3 linked regions of the Saccharomyces cerevisiae S288C genome follow. The protein of the gene in region 1 binds, or shares a complex with, the protein of each later gene. Each region holds a gene or a part of one and is shown in the gene's direction. Other genes may lie near its edges.

What was found. The genes of interacting proteins can lie anywhere in the genome.
Region 2: the proteins of MCM21 (region 1) and NKP1 are in contact, whole or in part, in a cryo-EM structure (PDB 6NUW), measured with the Saccharomyces cerevisiae proteins. Residues at the interface, in NP_010604.4 of Saccharomyces cerevisiae: Glu316 (codon at 4,945), Val325 (codon at 4,972), Ser326 (codon at 4,975), Cys327 (codon at 4,978), Ser328 (codon at 4,981), Glu345 (codon at 5,032); in NP_010671.4 of Saccharomyces cerevisiae: Arg100 (codon at 1,827), Val101 (codon at 1,830), Glu102 (codon at 1,833), Gly103 (codon at 1,836), Glu104 (codon at 1,839), Pro105 (codon at 1,842).
Region 3: the proteins of MCM21 (region 1) and OKP1 are in contact, whole or in part, in a cryo-EM structure (PDB 8OVX), measured with the Saccharomyces cerevisiae proteins. Residues at the interface, in NP_010604.4 of Saccharomyces cerevisiae: Asp252 (codon at 4,753), Thr253 (codon at 4,756), Asn254 (codon at 4,759), Gly255 (codon at 4,762), Asp262 (codon at 4,783), Asp263 (codon at 4,786), Leu266 (codon at 4,795), Lys269 (codon at 4,804), Arg270 (codon at 4,807); in NP_011695.1 of Saccharomyces cerevisiae: Val323 (codon at 2,802), Arg326 (codon at 2,811), Asn327 (codon at 2,814), His330 (codon at 2,823), Glu331 (codon at 2,826), Asn333 (codon at 2,832).

Annotation. Positions count from the first base shown.
Region 1 is NC_001136.10:1,099,842-1,107,893, forward strand, and holds MCM21 (Mcm21p), read left to right. Parts: upstream 1-3,916; coding exon 3,917-3,968; intron 3,969-4,051; coding exon 4,052-5,106; downstream 5,107-8,052. Other genes in the region: HIM1 (Him1p), read left to right, coding at 2,343-3,587; YFT2 (Yft2p), read right to left, coding at 5,162-5,986; auxilin-like protein SWA2, read right to left, coding at 6,254-8,052. UniProt on the Saccharomyces cerevisiae protein: Component of the kinetochore, a multiprotein complex that assembles on centromeric DNA and attaches chromosomes to spindle microtubules, mediating chromosome segregation and sister chromatid segregation during meiosis and mitosis.
Region 2 is NC_001136.10:1,239,460-1,242,205, reverse strand, and holds NKP1 (Nkp1p), read left to right. Parts: upstream 1-1,529; coding exon 1,530-2,246; downstream 2,247-2,746. Other genes in the region: putative ammonium permease ATO3, read left to right, coding at 175-1,002; ribosomal protein P2 RPP2B, read right to left, coding at 2,382-2,714. UniProt on the Saccharomyces cerevisiae protein: Component of the kinetochore, a multiprotein complex that assembles on centromeric DNA and attaches chromosomes to spindle microtubules, mediating chromosome segregation and sister chromatid segregation during meiosis and mitosis.
Region 3 is NC_001139.9:853,175-856,730, reverse strand, and holds OKP1 (Okp1p), read left to right. Parts: upstream 1-1,835; coding exon 1,836-3,056; downstream 3,057-3,556. Other genes in the region: ribonucleotide-diphosphate reductase subunit RNR4, read left to right, coding at 430-1,467; PBP1 (Pbp1p), read left to right, coding at 3,516-3,556. UniProt on the Saccharomyces cerevisiae protein: Component of the kinetochore, a multiprotein complex that assembles on centromeric DNA and attaches chromosomes to spindle microtubules, mediating chromosome segregation and sister chromatid segregation during meiosis and mitosis.

The DNA of each region.
Region 1 (8,052 bases):
CAACTATTGAAAATGAATACTTGGGACACTGACAAATATTATGACAGAAAAGAAATAGACCCTAAAAGAGTAATAAATTCAATGTTTATCTTCAACAGGAAACGTGACGGTACTCATAAAGCTAGATTTGTTGCAAGAGGTGATATTCAGCATCCTGACACTTACGACTCAGGCATGCAATCCAATACCGTACATCACTATGCATTAATGACATCCCTGTCACTTGCATTAGACAATAACTACTATATTACACAATTAGACATATCTTCGGCATATTTGTATGCAGACATCAAAGAAGAATTATACATAAGACCTCCACCACATTTAGGAATGAATGATAAGTTGATACGTTTGAAGAAATCACTTTATGGATTGAAACAAAGTGGAGCGAACTGGTACGAAACTATCAAATCATACCTGATAAAACAGTGTGGTATGGAAGAAGTTCGTGGATGGTCATGCGTATTTAAGAATAGTCAAGTAACAATTTGCTTATTCGTTGATGATATGATATTGTTCAGCAAAGACTTAAATGCAAATAAGAAAATCATAACAACACTCAAGAAACAATACGATACAAAGATAATAAATCTGGGTGAAAGTGATAACGAAATTCAGTACGACATACTTGGCTTAGAAATCAAATATCAAAGAGGTAAATACATGAAATTAGGTATGGAAAACTCATTAACTGAGAAAATACCCAAATTAAACGTACCTTTGAATCCAAAAGGAAGAAAACTTAGCGCTCCAGGTCAACCAGGTCTTTATATAGACCAGGATGAACTAGAAATAGATGAAGATGAATACAAAGAGAAGGTACATGAAATGCAAAAGTTGATTGGTCTAGCTTCATATGTTGGATATAAATTTAGATTTGACTTACTATACTACATCAACACACTTGCTCAACATATACTATTCCCCTCTAGGCAAGTTTTAGACATGACATATGAGTTAATACAATTCATGTGGGACACTAGAGATAAACAACTGATATGGCACAAAAACAAACCTACCGAGCCAGATAATAAACTAGTCGCAATAAGTGATGCTTCATATGGTAACCAACCATATTACAAGTCACAAATTGGCAACATATATTTACTTAATGGAAAGGTAATTGGAGGAAAGTCCACCAAGGCTTCATTAACATGTACTTCAACTACGGAAGCAGAAATACACGCGATAAGTGAATCTGTCCCATTATTAAATAACCTCAGTCACCTTGTGCAAGAACTTAACAAGAAACCAATTACTAAAGGATTACTAACCGACAGTAAATCTACAATCAGTATAATTATATCCAATAATGAAGAGAAATTTAGAAACAGATTTTTTGGTACTAAAGCAATGAGACTAAGAGATGAAGTATCAGGAAATCATCTGCACGTATGCTATATCGAAACCAAAAAGAATATTGCAGACGTAATGACCAAACCTCTTCCGATAAAAACATTCAAACTATTAACAAACAAATGGATTCATTAGATCTATTACATTATGGGTGGTATGTTGGAATAAAAATCCACTATCGTCTATCAACTAATAGTTATATTATCAATATATTATCATATACGGTGTTAAGATGATGACATAAGTTATGAGAAGCTGTCATCGATGTTAGAGGAAGCTGAAACGCAAGGATTGATAATGTAATAGGATCAATGAATATAAACATATAAAACGGAATGAGGAATAATCGTAATATTAGTATGTAGAAATATAGATTCCATTTTGAGGATTCCTATATCCTCGAGGAGAACTTCTAGTATATTCTGTATACCTAATATTATAGCCTTTATCAACAATGGAATCCCAACAATTATCTAATTACCCACATATTTCTCAAATCTCCTATATTACGATCTATTCTTTAGTCTAAATGTTACCAATCGTTATCCTTTTTTATCATCAATCCGTGCGTTTCAGTTGCTTTTAAATTTGATAACGCATTCTTATCATTTATGTCATTTTATTACATCATATATGATAATATTCCGTCACCTTGAATACTCATCAAGAAACGATAAGTTGTTGTAATTTAACAGTAACTCTGCATATAATTCAACAGGTAAAAACTAACTTTTATATCCTTGAACTTCTTCATTTTTGTGTCTTTCATTGAAAGTATAATTTTCCTTTTTTTTTTTTGGTTTTCAATACATATAATGATGGGTGACATTTTTTGTGTCATTTAGATTAAAAGAAATTTTAAGAAAAATTGACGTATTTAATTTTGATCCGCAGTAAACGCTATAAATTCTTTTTAATATAAATGACAGCTTTTTATACATATAGACCCTTTGAAGAATATTCCAAACTAGAAAGGTTGATCAGAAATGAGTTATAGTGTCAACACGTTTACAGATTACGTTTTATTGTTTGGATCATCTAGTTTAGTAGGAAAAGGTATTTTAGAGAACCTGTTGGACATAAATTTATATATTAAAAATGTTTCGGACCTACAAGGCAAGCTTGATAGCTTAAGTGAAATAAAGGGAAATGTCGTTCTCAATAAACATGTCTTTTGTGTTAATAGAAGGTGCATCAATGAGGAGAAATCATTTATGAAGACCATTGATTATATAAATATGAGATCAGTTACTTGGCAAGGTGGCAGATATTACTTGAGAAGCAGGAAAGAAAAAGACACTGAAAAAGTACCGTCTAGTCCTAATACTTTTTGTTATGATAATTTTGAAGAAGGATTTATTAAAAATACGCCTGAAGAGAGGGGAAAAGATGGTTATTCTTTTGTTTATAATCAGAAACAGTTCAGTTACACACTACATTATGCATGCGGAAAGGAAAAAGGTATTGAGATCATTTGTAATTTTACTGTAACGCAATTGATCATCCCCAGATCTGAAACTTGGCCAAAATTGCTTCCACGGATATTCTCAGGAACACAAAAGCTGGAAAAGTTTGACATTGACAACAAAAATTACGTTCCCGGTAGAAGTTTGCCTAGTCTGTGTGATATTAGCACTATGGTGTGCTCTTTGGGCTCCACCTCAGCTAGAGTGCGGAGAACTCAGGTACCAAGTTCCTTTGCTGACTATTACTTACCTTTTAATTTAGCACAAGAATTCACGAATACAACTAACAAAAGGTTGGTGGTTACAACTGCCTTTAATAATGATTTTCTTAGTAAAACTTTCGAGTATTTTAGAATAAAAGCTAAATTAGAAAATGACTTGGATGAAGCTTTGCCAAATAAGCTAAAGGAGCTAGTTATTTTGAGGCCAGGTCCGATGTGTGGACAGCACGGAAATCCTATAAACGTTGAATTGGGTAAAGAAAACTCCACTTTCTTGGAAAAAATTTTTTATTATCCTCACTATCTTTTAGTTTATAAAAAGAAATATATCAGTGAGGCCAGAAGGATTGGCTTAAGAACAAAGTTAAGCGAAATAATTGCTTCCAGTATATATAGGATGCCAGGATCTGCATTATTAGGATACGCTGTCCCAGTTTCAAAGGTTTCTTATGTTGCCTCTTTGATGGCGATTGAAAGGAAAAGTAAAGAGGCGGGACCTAAGCTGGAAGTAATTAGCAGTTATCAAATTGATATGATTGTGTGAACAGTCAGTCTTTTCTTTTGATAGATGCGAAGTTATTAAATAAATAGTAGCCTAATACATAAAAGAACCACTATATCATGGATTCGATACCTGGGCCGTCTTAAATTTTTATCGCATTGAATATGCAAACTTTATGTATTGTTTTACTAATCGCCAGTAATGGCCGACCAATTCTATGATAGATCTTCCCTAAGTTTATAATGATGGTAAGAAAACGCGCATATTTCAAAACTGAAGAAAAAACAAACAAAAGCCATATGGATAATGAGGGGAAAATGTGATTTCTTTACTTGAGCAATTCTTTCAAACTATCAGTAACGCTCCTGGCAATGAGTAGAATCGATGATTTACAGCAGGACATTGAATCTTTACTCAGTGAAAGTATGTGATTTTGAGGCTGTAACAATTTTCTTTCTTTTAAAAAAATGATTAAGTTGAACACTAACATAGTAGAATCTTCACAGTCAATTCATTAGAAGAAAGTCGTGAGAAGCTCAAAGCGAAGATAAAAGATAAAAGAAAAAATGAGGAGAGCGCTAATCCTATAGTACAAGAATTTGAAGATCTATTCGATCAATTCCCACAGTTGAATAATTTTTTATTTAATGAGCATCCAGAATTGGAAGAGACAGATGACAAGGACATATCAAGGGCGCAAGCGGATATACCAGCAACGCCAATACCGTATGAACCAAAGAAAAGAGCTAAGCTGGAGAATGAGGAAATTTTACCAGAACAAGAATGGGTTTTAAAGACCCAGCCAATGGTTCAGCATCAAATGTTTGATCCTGGGGTGGCAGATTTATTGGATACAGACATTCTAACGTCACCTTCAAAAAGAAAGCGAAAACTAAAAATAGACGATATTAGTACAAGTGATAGAAGTGAGTTGGAAGATTATATTGTCCTGGAAAATGTTTATAGAATGTTTGGTATAACATTTTTCCCTCTTGTGGACCCTATTGACCTTAAGATAAAAGATGCTAGCGGTGAAATATTTGTTGATAGAGAAATGCTGGGAATACGACTGGAAGTCTTCAGCGAACGGACATCCCAATTTGAAAAACCTCACTATGTATTGTTGAAAAAGAGGATCAAATCGAATAGTTGGTTCCTGTTCAAGCATACAATCCCGAGTTTCATTGATGTCCAAGGTATATTTGATGACACCAATGGGGGACTAGTGATATCTCATGATGACGCCTATTTATTTGCTAAAAGAGTCTTCCTGCAACTTGTGGAAGTACAGAAAAGACGACAGATTTTTAAGGACTTAGAAGCTAAGAAGATAATCCACGACTTAGATTTAGATTTAGAATCTTCAATGGTTTCGTTTTTTGTGAAGGATATTAAAGTCGAGTTGTTTGTAAAACAAAATGAAATAGTTTCATGTTCAATATTGGACGATATTCATGATTTTAGTCAAAATAATAAAAGTAAATGGGAAATTGCATTGCTCGGTTCTTTGGATGATTTGGAATTAAAATTAAACCATTCTTTCGCGACAATATTCAAGTGAATGTTAACAAAAATATACTTTATAGAAAGAGGATAGAGCTAATTTTCTCTGTTTATCATAGATATAAGTAATTGTGTAGTATCCCAATTTTGGGTAGAATGTGGTATATGAAAACAGGGCATATGAAACCCATAAGGCAACCTAACACTTTTTCCAAGATAGTATGATAATAAATAGCGGTAACCCAGAGAATACATATCCAAATTACTAGGACAGCGCAAACAATGGCAAGGCAAGCTCGTACCCACTTATTCACAACCCAAAACATATCTTCAGCTTGAACAAATCTACTGAATAAGTGAAGTTCCATCCAAAGAATCATGCTTATACTCACAAGAAAGCAGAAGTGTCCACTAATGTCAAACCCACCATCCCATTTCCCATTTTCTAGACGGCACTTTTCAGCTGATGTCGTTTTACTACCAGAACTGCATTCTCCCCCTGTCCAAATGAAAACATGATCGATAAATTGGAAATTCAAAAACAATAATAGATATTTTAGAACGAACTTGCAAGCATATTGAGTGATCATAATACTGATTATTCTATTTTTGAGCAGAGGCCAATGGTTAGTATATGTTAAATAGGAAGAGCTAGTTTCGGTACTTGATATTGGTAAAGGCAATATATCCATTCTTGCTAGATAGTGGAAGTATATTTGCAGAAAAGCCAAACTAAAGAATAAAAATGGCCACAGTTGGTTCGCTTTGTATGCAAAAATAACATTGAAAATATTGGACGATTTCAATAGAGCGCATGTCTCTTTTTGATGGTTTAATGTTTCTGAAGATACTACTATTGATAATAATGCGCCTACAAAAACTTGAAAGGGGTAAATGAGATACGCCTTCCTTGACCAATAATTGAGCTGACGTATCATAATCTTTTTCAATTTTTAGTCGTTCAGTGGTTTTAATACAATGCCCTATTTCTATTGTGTTTTAACATTGTGATATTTTGAATTTTTTTTTTTTTTTTGCAGATTGTTTTTCATATTAATCAAATTGGGTGCCACTTGTAAGTCAATAAATGAAACTAAGCCTTTCCATACTTTTTCCTAACGCGCTTTGAAGAATTTGTTTTCCTATATATATTTGTATAAAGTACATATCAAAAACAACTGAGCGAAGCAGGCACACAAGGGAAATCAGTTAATGTCATTCTGCAGTTTGAACTTATCCCAAGCAATACTTAAAGTACTGAAAATATTCTCTGCAATCATCTTATTTTCCAGGGACAAGGACTCTGGTATCTTATCAGGATGTGTCTTGGCTACAGCTTTCATGTATGTAATTTTGACCCTCTTAGGCATAACCAAATCTTGCATAGAGACATCCTTCCAATTGCACCATGTTAGTAAGCTGGATAAATTTGCTAACAGATGACGAATGTCATCGTCTTTGCCATCCTTCCAGGAGCTAATTTTCTCAAATACTTTATCATATAGCGCCAGTTTAGCGTTTTCTAGCTCCCGTTTTTTTATTTCTGAAGTGCTATCAACAGAAATTGGAGAATTTGAAGAAGAAGCGGTTAAGTTCTGTTTTTTTGTTGCAGGCGAGGTTGTCGTTGTCTTCTTCTTAACGGGCATGGATTTTTTAACAGGGGGAGGATTAATAAAGTCTTGGCATCTTCTTTTTCCCTGCATGATTTTATCATCAAAAAAATTCTTCTTAATCAGCTCTTGGTATGTTTCTAGTGCTTTTTTGAAACTTTCTAAATGTTCAAAAGACTCAGCACGCCTAATCATAATCTTTGGCCAGATGTCGTTAAATGATCTTTCAGGGTCACTATTTGAGATTTTATTCTTCCACTTAGCTTTGCTTGATGGGAATAATTCCAAAGCCATGCTGGAGTTTTCTATGGACTTAGAGTACTCACCGATTTTCAGTTGCGAGGCAATAATGTTTGATAATGCAATGATCCTCAATGGATGATTTAAAGGCAATGTATTTAAAGACTTTTCATATTCTTGTAATGAGTTAATATAATCCCCGTTCTTGAACAAACTAGTACCTTTCGCCTTAAATTCGTTATACCCCGATAATTCAATATCTGAGATGGGTATTGTAGAGTCAGTGTTGCTGTTTTCATTGAAGAGGGTGCTATCTTCATTGCTTTTACTATTGGTGAGATTTCCTTCTGAAAAGTCGAGAAGACTATCCTCTATCAGGGGCTCATTTCTTCGCGAATTTTCTTCAATTAGTATACCAGAAGTCGGTGAGGAGGAGTGGGAGACATCAGGCGCTGTCCTCTTTGTTATATCAATCTTTGTTTCGAAATCAGTTAAAAGATCTTGATCCGGATTATCGGCAGGTGGTAAGTTCTCTACGACTTCATTATCTTCAAACAAAATTCTATTGGGTGAGTCGTTTACTTGAGGCAAATCATAATCCTCAACCTTATCATGAGTTTTTGAGTAATTATTCAGTCTATCATTTGCCTCAGGTGGGAAGGAGGTCCATTGGTCTACCAGTTTCTTACCCTTATTGAAAAAATCAGTGGCCATGCTGAATAAATTATTGCTATCTGTACCAACAATGTTGGATAATCCTGACTTTTCCATTTTTATACCACTTTCTTTCTTTCTTATAGCTAGATCGTTGCGCTCCTTTTGCTTTGACTTTAAAATCTCCAAATATCTTTCATAAGTTACGTCATTTTCGTAAAACTCAGTGGCTTCTTCAATTGATAAACCTAGAGACATCAATCTTGCTATTTCCATATCCTTAACTTCATCAACTAAGGCGTCATCACCATTGTAAAGGTGGTCTTCCTTGCTTCCATAGTAATCCTCATCCGGTTTTTGGATCGTATCCGTTGTAGTTACTGTGCCCATACCAAATAGTTGATTGAAGTCGTCATCGGTATTGGCAAGAGCCGAGGGAGGTGTGTTGTTGGCAGTATTAGATTTAGTGGTGCTATTAGTTGGGACCAAAGGAGGTGCAG
Region 2 (2,746 bases), 140 kb from region 1:
GTGACTCAGAAGGAATATTTAAATAAAACAACTTTTTAGCAAATTGAATACTCATCGATGAGCTTCGCTTGATTGCCTAATATTCCCCCAGTTTTATAAACAGTTGGGTCACATATAACTGAATACATTCCCAGAAAGATTTAGTAAGAATAAAAAATAAAAATACTGGTTAAAATGACATCGTCTGCTTCTTCTCCACAGGATTTGGAAAAGGGTGTGAACACTCTAGAAAATATTGAGACGCTCCCCCAGCAGGGTTCGATTGCAGGCGTTTCGCAGGGCTTCCCTAATATTCAAGAGATATACTCCGACAGAGACTTCATTACTCTAGGATCCTCCACCTACAGGCGCAGAGATTTGCTCAATGCACTAGACAGAGGGGATGGGGAGGAAGGAAACTGTGCAAAGTATACTCCGCACCAGTTCGCTAATCCGGTTCCTTTGGGTCTCGCATCGTTTTCTCTGTCATGTCTAGTTCTGTCGCTAATTAATGCGAACGTTCGCGGCGTCACTGATGGTAAATGGGCGCTAAGTTTGTTTATGTTTTTTGGTGGTGCCATTGAATTGTTTGCCGGGTTATTGTGTTTTGTCATTGGGGACACATACGCCATGACTGTGTTCAGTTCTTTCGGCGGGTTCTGGATCTGCTACGGTTATGGGCTAACAGATACTGATAATTTGGTCAGCGGCTATACCGATCCCACAATGTTGAACAATGTCATTGGGTTCTTCCTTGCGGGCTGGACCGTTTTCACCTTCTTGATGTTGATGTGTACATTGAAGAGCACGTGGGGTTTGTTCTTACTATTGACGTTTTTGGATCTTACCTTCCTACTACTGTGTATCGGCACCTTCATTGACAACAACAATCTCAAAATGGCCGGTGGCTATTTTGGAATTTTAAGTAGTTGCTGCGGTTGGTATTCGCTATACTGTTCTGTGGTGAGTCCTTCAAATTCTTATTTAGCCTTCAGGGCGCACACAATGCCAAATGCTCCTTAAAGGGTATGAAATGAAAAACAAAACTTATAAAACATTAAAATGATTTAATAATAATGATAACGTTACGTTTAGACATAGTCTTTTTTTTTTTTCTTGGCCAAGAGTTTTTATAAAAATTTATATATCATTTACCCACAATACTTAGCAAATTGTTCGAGACGAAATATTCTTTTTTTGAATTGTTACCGATGGATGGATTTGTTCGAAATAAGACCCAAGGCTTAGGCATCTTTTTTTTTTTTTTCTGTAATATTTGGACTAAATATAAATCAAATTTCAAGAAGGAAGGGAAAAATCATAAAATAGTGAAGAATTCAGGCAATCAAGATTTAATTCGCATGTAAAATATCTCTTTCTCGTGAACAAAACTTTCGTTTGTACCTTTTGAGTACAGATATATTGCTTTGTTCAAAGGTGATATAAAAACGATGACGCGTCACAGGGGAAAAGAGGTAAATCTACATGCGAAGAAATATTTTTGGTAAATGTGCACAGAAACTAAAGCAACAATAGATTGTAGGAATAAGATGACAGACACATATAATAGCATATCCAATTTTATAGAAAATGAATTGACCGCACTGCTGTCGAGTGATGACTACCTCATGGATGACCTAGCAGGCGAATTACCAAATGAAGTGTGCAGATTACTAAAGGCTCAAGTAATTGAAAAGAGAAAGGATGCCATGAGCAGGGGAAAACAAGACTTACTGAGCAAAGAGATATACGATAACGAGTCTGAATTGAGAGCCAGTCAATCGCAGCAGATAATGGAACTTGTTGGAGACATACCAAAGTACTCTCTTGGAAGTGAACTAAGAAATAGAGTTGAGGGTGAACCTCAGAGTACATCGATAGAGAGATTAATTGAAGATGTGTTGAAGCTGCCGCAGATGGAAGTAGCAGACGAAGAGGAAGTTGAAGTGGAAAATGATCTCAAAGTTCTAAGCGAGTATAGTAATTTAAGGAAAGATTTAATACTGAAATGTCAGGCTCTCCAAATAGGCGAAAGTAAATTATCAGATATTCTGAGCCAAACAAATTCTATAAATTCTTTAACAACTTCCATTAAAGAAGCTTCTGAAGATGATGATATCAGCGAGTACTTCGCCACTTACAATGGGAAACTAGTAGTTGCGTTGGAAGAAATGAAGCTATTATTGGAAGAGGCCGTGAAAACATTTGGCAATTCTCCGGAAAAGAGAGAAAAAATAAAAAAAATCCTAAGCGAGTTAAAGAAGTAATACTATTTTCAATTAATTGTCTATATAGAATCTTATACAGTAATTAATTATTTTTAAATCACAATGGAATCGAGGATTTACACCAGATTTTGTAAAATGAAGGAAAACAAGAAAATTGTTTATTAATTAAATTCCTTAATCGAATAAACCAAAACCCATGTCATCATCAGATTCTTCCTTAGCTTCTTCTTCCTTTTCTTCTTCAGCAGCATCACCACCGGCAGCAGCACCGGCAGCACCGGCAGCAGCAGAAGAAGCACCACCAGTTGGAACAGTAGCGAACTTCTTTTGACCTTCAGCGATGATTTCTTCCAAAGAGCCCTTACCTTCCAAAGAGGACAACAATTCGTTGATTCTGGCTTCATCGACTTCAGCACCGACAGATTCGACGACGGCCTTGATGTCAGCGGCGGATGGGGCAGCGTTACCACCTTGAACCAATAATAAGTAAGCAGCTAAGTATTTCATTTCTGTTGTTGATTAATAGATATTACTTTCTA
Region 3 (3,556 bases), on another chromosome or scaffold:
TGTTCACCACAGCGTCTCTTGCCTTCCCGATGGGCGTTGTTGTGGCAACACCATCCTCTTTGCTTACTGTAATCGGTAGACGACGTCCGTTCCTTCCTTGGTCTCATGAAGCTCTGGCGTATAAAAACGGCGATTGAATCTTCAATGTTCCTAAAGTTTCATTCCTTATCTCTCATTTTCTTCATTTTTTGTCTCTTGGCTTTTCGATCAAAAAAAGACTATCAATAGATACATTGGTTTCTGACCCCACCTCTGTCCCCTTACACTATCAAATTTCACTTTTTTACTTTTTTTTTTTTTGCAAAAGGCCTTGTCTCGAAACAGAAAGAAAAAAAATTCATTTAAAAAGGGAAATAAAAAATTGCTAATACAAAAACAGATCTTTTTGAGCCACACAACCCCGCGCAACGCACACAATTAGTTATTACAATGGAAGCACATAACCAATTTTTGAAGACTTTCCAAAAAGAACGTCATGATATGAAAGAAGCTGAAAAGGATGAAATCCTTTTGATGGAAAACAGCCGTAGATTCGTGATGTTCCCTATCAAATACCACGAAATCTGGGCTGCTTACAAGAAGGTTGAAGCCTCTTTCTGGACTGCGGAAGAAATCGAATTGGCTAAGGACACTGAAGATTTCCAAAAATTGACTGATGACCAGAAGACCTACATCGGTAACTTGTTAGCCTTGTCCATTTCTTCTGACAACCTTGTCAACAAGTACTTGATCGAAAACTTTTCTGCCCAATTGCAAAACCCTGAAGGTAAGAGTTTCTACGGGTTCCAGATTATGATGGAAAACATCTACTCTGAAGTTTACTCCATGATGGTTGATGCCTTCTTCAAGGACCCTAAGAACATCCCTCTATTCAAGGAAATTGCCAATTTGCCTGAAGTCAAGCATAAGGCTGCTTTCATCGAGAGATGGATTTCCAACGATGACAGCTTGTATGCTGAAAGACTAGTAGCATTTGCTGCAAAGGAAGGTATTTTCCAAGCTGGTAACTATGCTTCTATGTTCTGGTTGACTGACAAAAAGATTATGCCAGGTTTAGCAATGGCCAACAGAAACATCTGTAGAGACAGAGGTGCCTACACTGACTTTTCATGCTTGCTATTTGCCCATTTGAGAACCAAGCCAAACCCCAAGATCATTGAAAAAATCATTACCGAAGCCGTGGAAATTGAAAAGGAATACTACTCAAACTCTTTGCCAGTAGAAAAATTTGGTATGGATTTGAAGAGCATTCACACCTACATAGAATTTGTCGCTGACGGTCTATTACAAGGTTTCGGTAACGAAAAATACTACAACGCCGTCAACCCATTCGAATTCATGGAGGATGTCGCTACCGCTGGTAAGACCACCTTCTTTGAAAAGAAGGTTTCCGACTACCAAAAGGCCAGTGACATGTCTAAGTCCGCTACCCCATCCAAGGAAATTAACTTTGATGATGACTTCTAAGTCAACGACGGGGTGCGTTCTTTTATTCTTGGCCACTTTTATTTATATATATTTATATATACCTAGGTACAGTATAACTAAACTTAAGTAGAAAAATTTAAAAAGAAACTACAGTTTTTTTTTATATTTATTATGACAATATTTGCCATTTTCTTGTAGGTAGATAAGGGAAAGATTCAGAGAGTACCATCATCCCGGTCATTTCATTTAAATAACATATTTTTGTTACCCGGAGAGTCACAATACGGTCCACCCATTTGTTTACTACCTCGAAGTTAATACAGATAGAGGTACATAGCAACAATGGATGAGGTAACTTGCACCCTATGGACGAATAATTCAAGCGATACTAGTGCTACGTATACTGTATGGCAGCTGATAGAGATAATTTTTTACAAAATATTGAAAATGATTCAATTAACAATGGCCAGGCCATGGATCTGTCACCCAACCGAAGTTCCTCTGAAAGCGATAGCAGCATTCTCATGAATGTGAATGATATTAAAACTTTACGTCTGGACGTAGCACCAGAAGCTAAAAGCACCCAATCAAAGAAGTCGCTTTTTTATGAGAACTCTGATGATGCTGAAGAAGGAGAAATAGAAGAGCGCACGAACAAAGAAGAAGGACAATACCATCATAAAGGATCTAAACAACTTCGATTTGAGGTTGGCAAGGAAAGTACAGGTAAATTGCAATCTCATCTATCGGATGGAAGCGCAACAAGTGGAGAGGGCAATGTACGACCTTGGGAATTCAGGAAGGTAATACAAGCTGAGTATAGAGAAAGGTTGCCGCGCAATTATGAATTAAAGCATTGGAAAAAGCCTTCTAAAATAATGATAGGATCCATACTTCGTTTATTAGAGACTAACACTGTAAGCGCTCTTGATTCTGTCTTTGAGAAGTACGAAAAGGAAATGAACCAAATGACGCATGGCGATAATAATGAGGTTAAAAGAATATATTCTAAGAAGGAACGTTTGCTTGAAATAATCCTCACAAAGATAAAGAAGAAGCTAAGACAGGCCAAATTTCCCTCTAGGATATCGGAAAGAGATCTAGACATCGAGTATATTTATTCTAAGCGACAATTTATTCAAAACCGGTATTCACAAGAACTACAAAATAATGAGAGATTGGAAGCAATTCTTTCACGTGAACAAAACCTTTTGGAGGAAACTAGGAAGTTGTGCATGAATTTAAAAACAAACAACAAGAAACGACTCACTGAGAAGCTAATACAAAAAGATCTGCATCCAGTACTTAACAAAGCAATGGAATATACATATGGCTTAGAATCTACTAATGGATTTATGCATCCTGATGGCCCAGTAACTTTTAGAAATGATAGCCACGAATTGAACCTGATGTTGAACGACCCCATAAAAAGTACAGCCGATGTGAGGCTTGATAAGGAGGAAGTACTGTCGTTGTTACCTTCTTTGAAAGAATATACGAAGAAATCAAAGGAACTTAAGGAAACAATGGGTCAAATGATTTCGGATTCACATGAAGAAGAAATCAAAGAGGTTTTTGTACCGCACCATGAGTCGCACCAAGATAAGACCGAAGAAGATATACACTAGCGATAATCCATTGTTTCAGAGTTTACGATTACGATGCATATAACTAAATATTTGATATATAATCATGCACTATTAGCATCCGGGTTACGTAACTTCTCCGCCAACGAGCCTCAGAAAACCTTGGAGAGCCACAACAAATTATGAAAAACTGGAAAAAAAAAAAAATAAAGAAGGAAGGAAAGCTCAATTGGGAGGCACTTTCTTTACTTGAGATTTGCGTTTTTGTAAAGCAGTTCTTAAATCGGCATCTCTCATCGCATAGATCTTTAAGGAAGATATAGGTCATTCACTCGCGTTTTCTTCTATCTTTCTTTTTGTTCTTTCCAGAAGACGTTTCGATTATTTCCGAATTGATCTTGAAGGGGAAGCAATAATTAAATCTTTGAAAATTGATTTGATATAAAAACTGACATCCTCAGTCACGGAAGTAATTAAAGGAGTTCATTACATTGAAACAATATGAAGGGAAACTTTAGGAAAAGAGATAGCTCCACCAACTC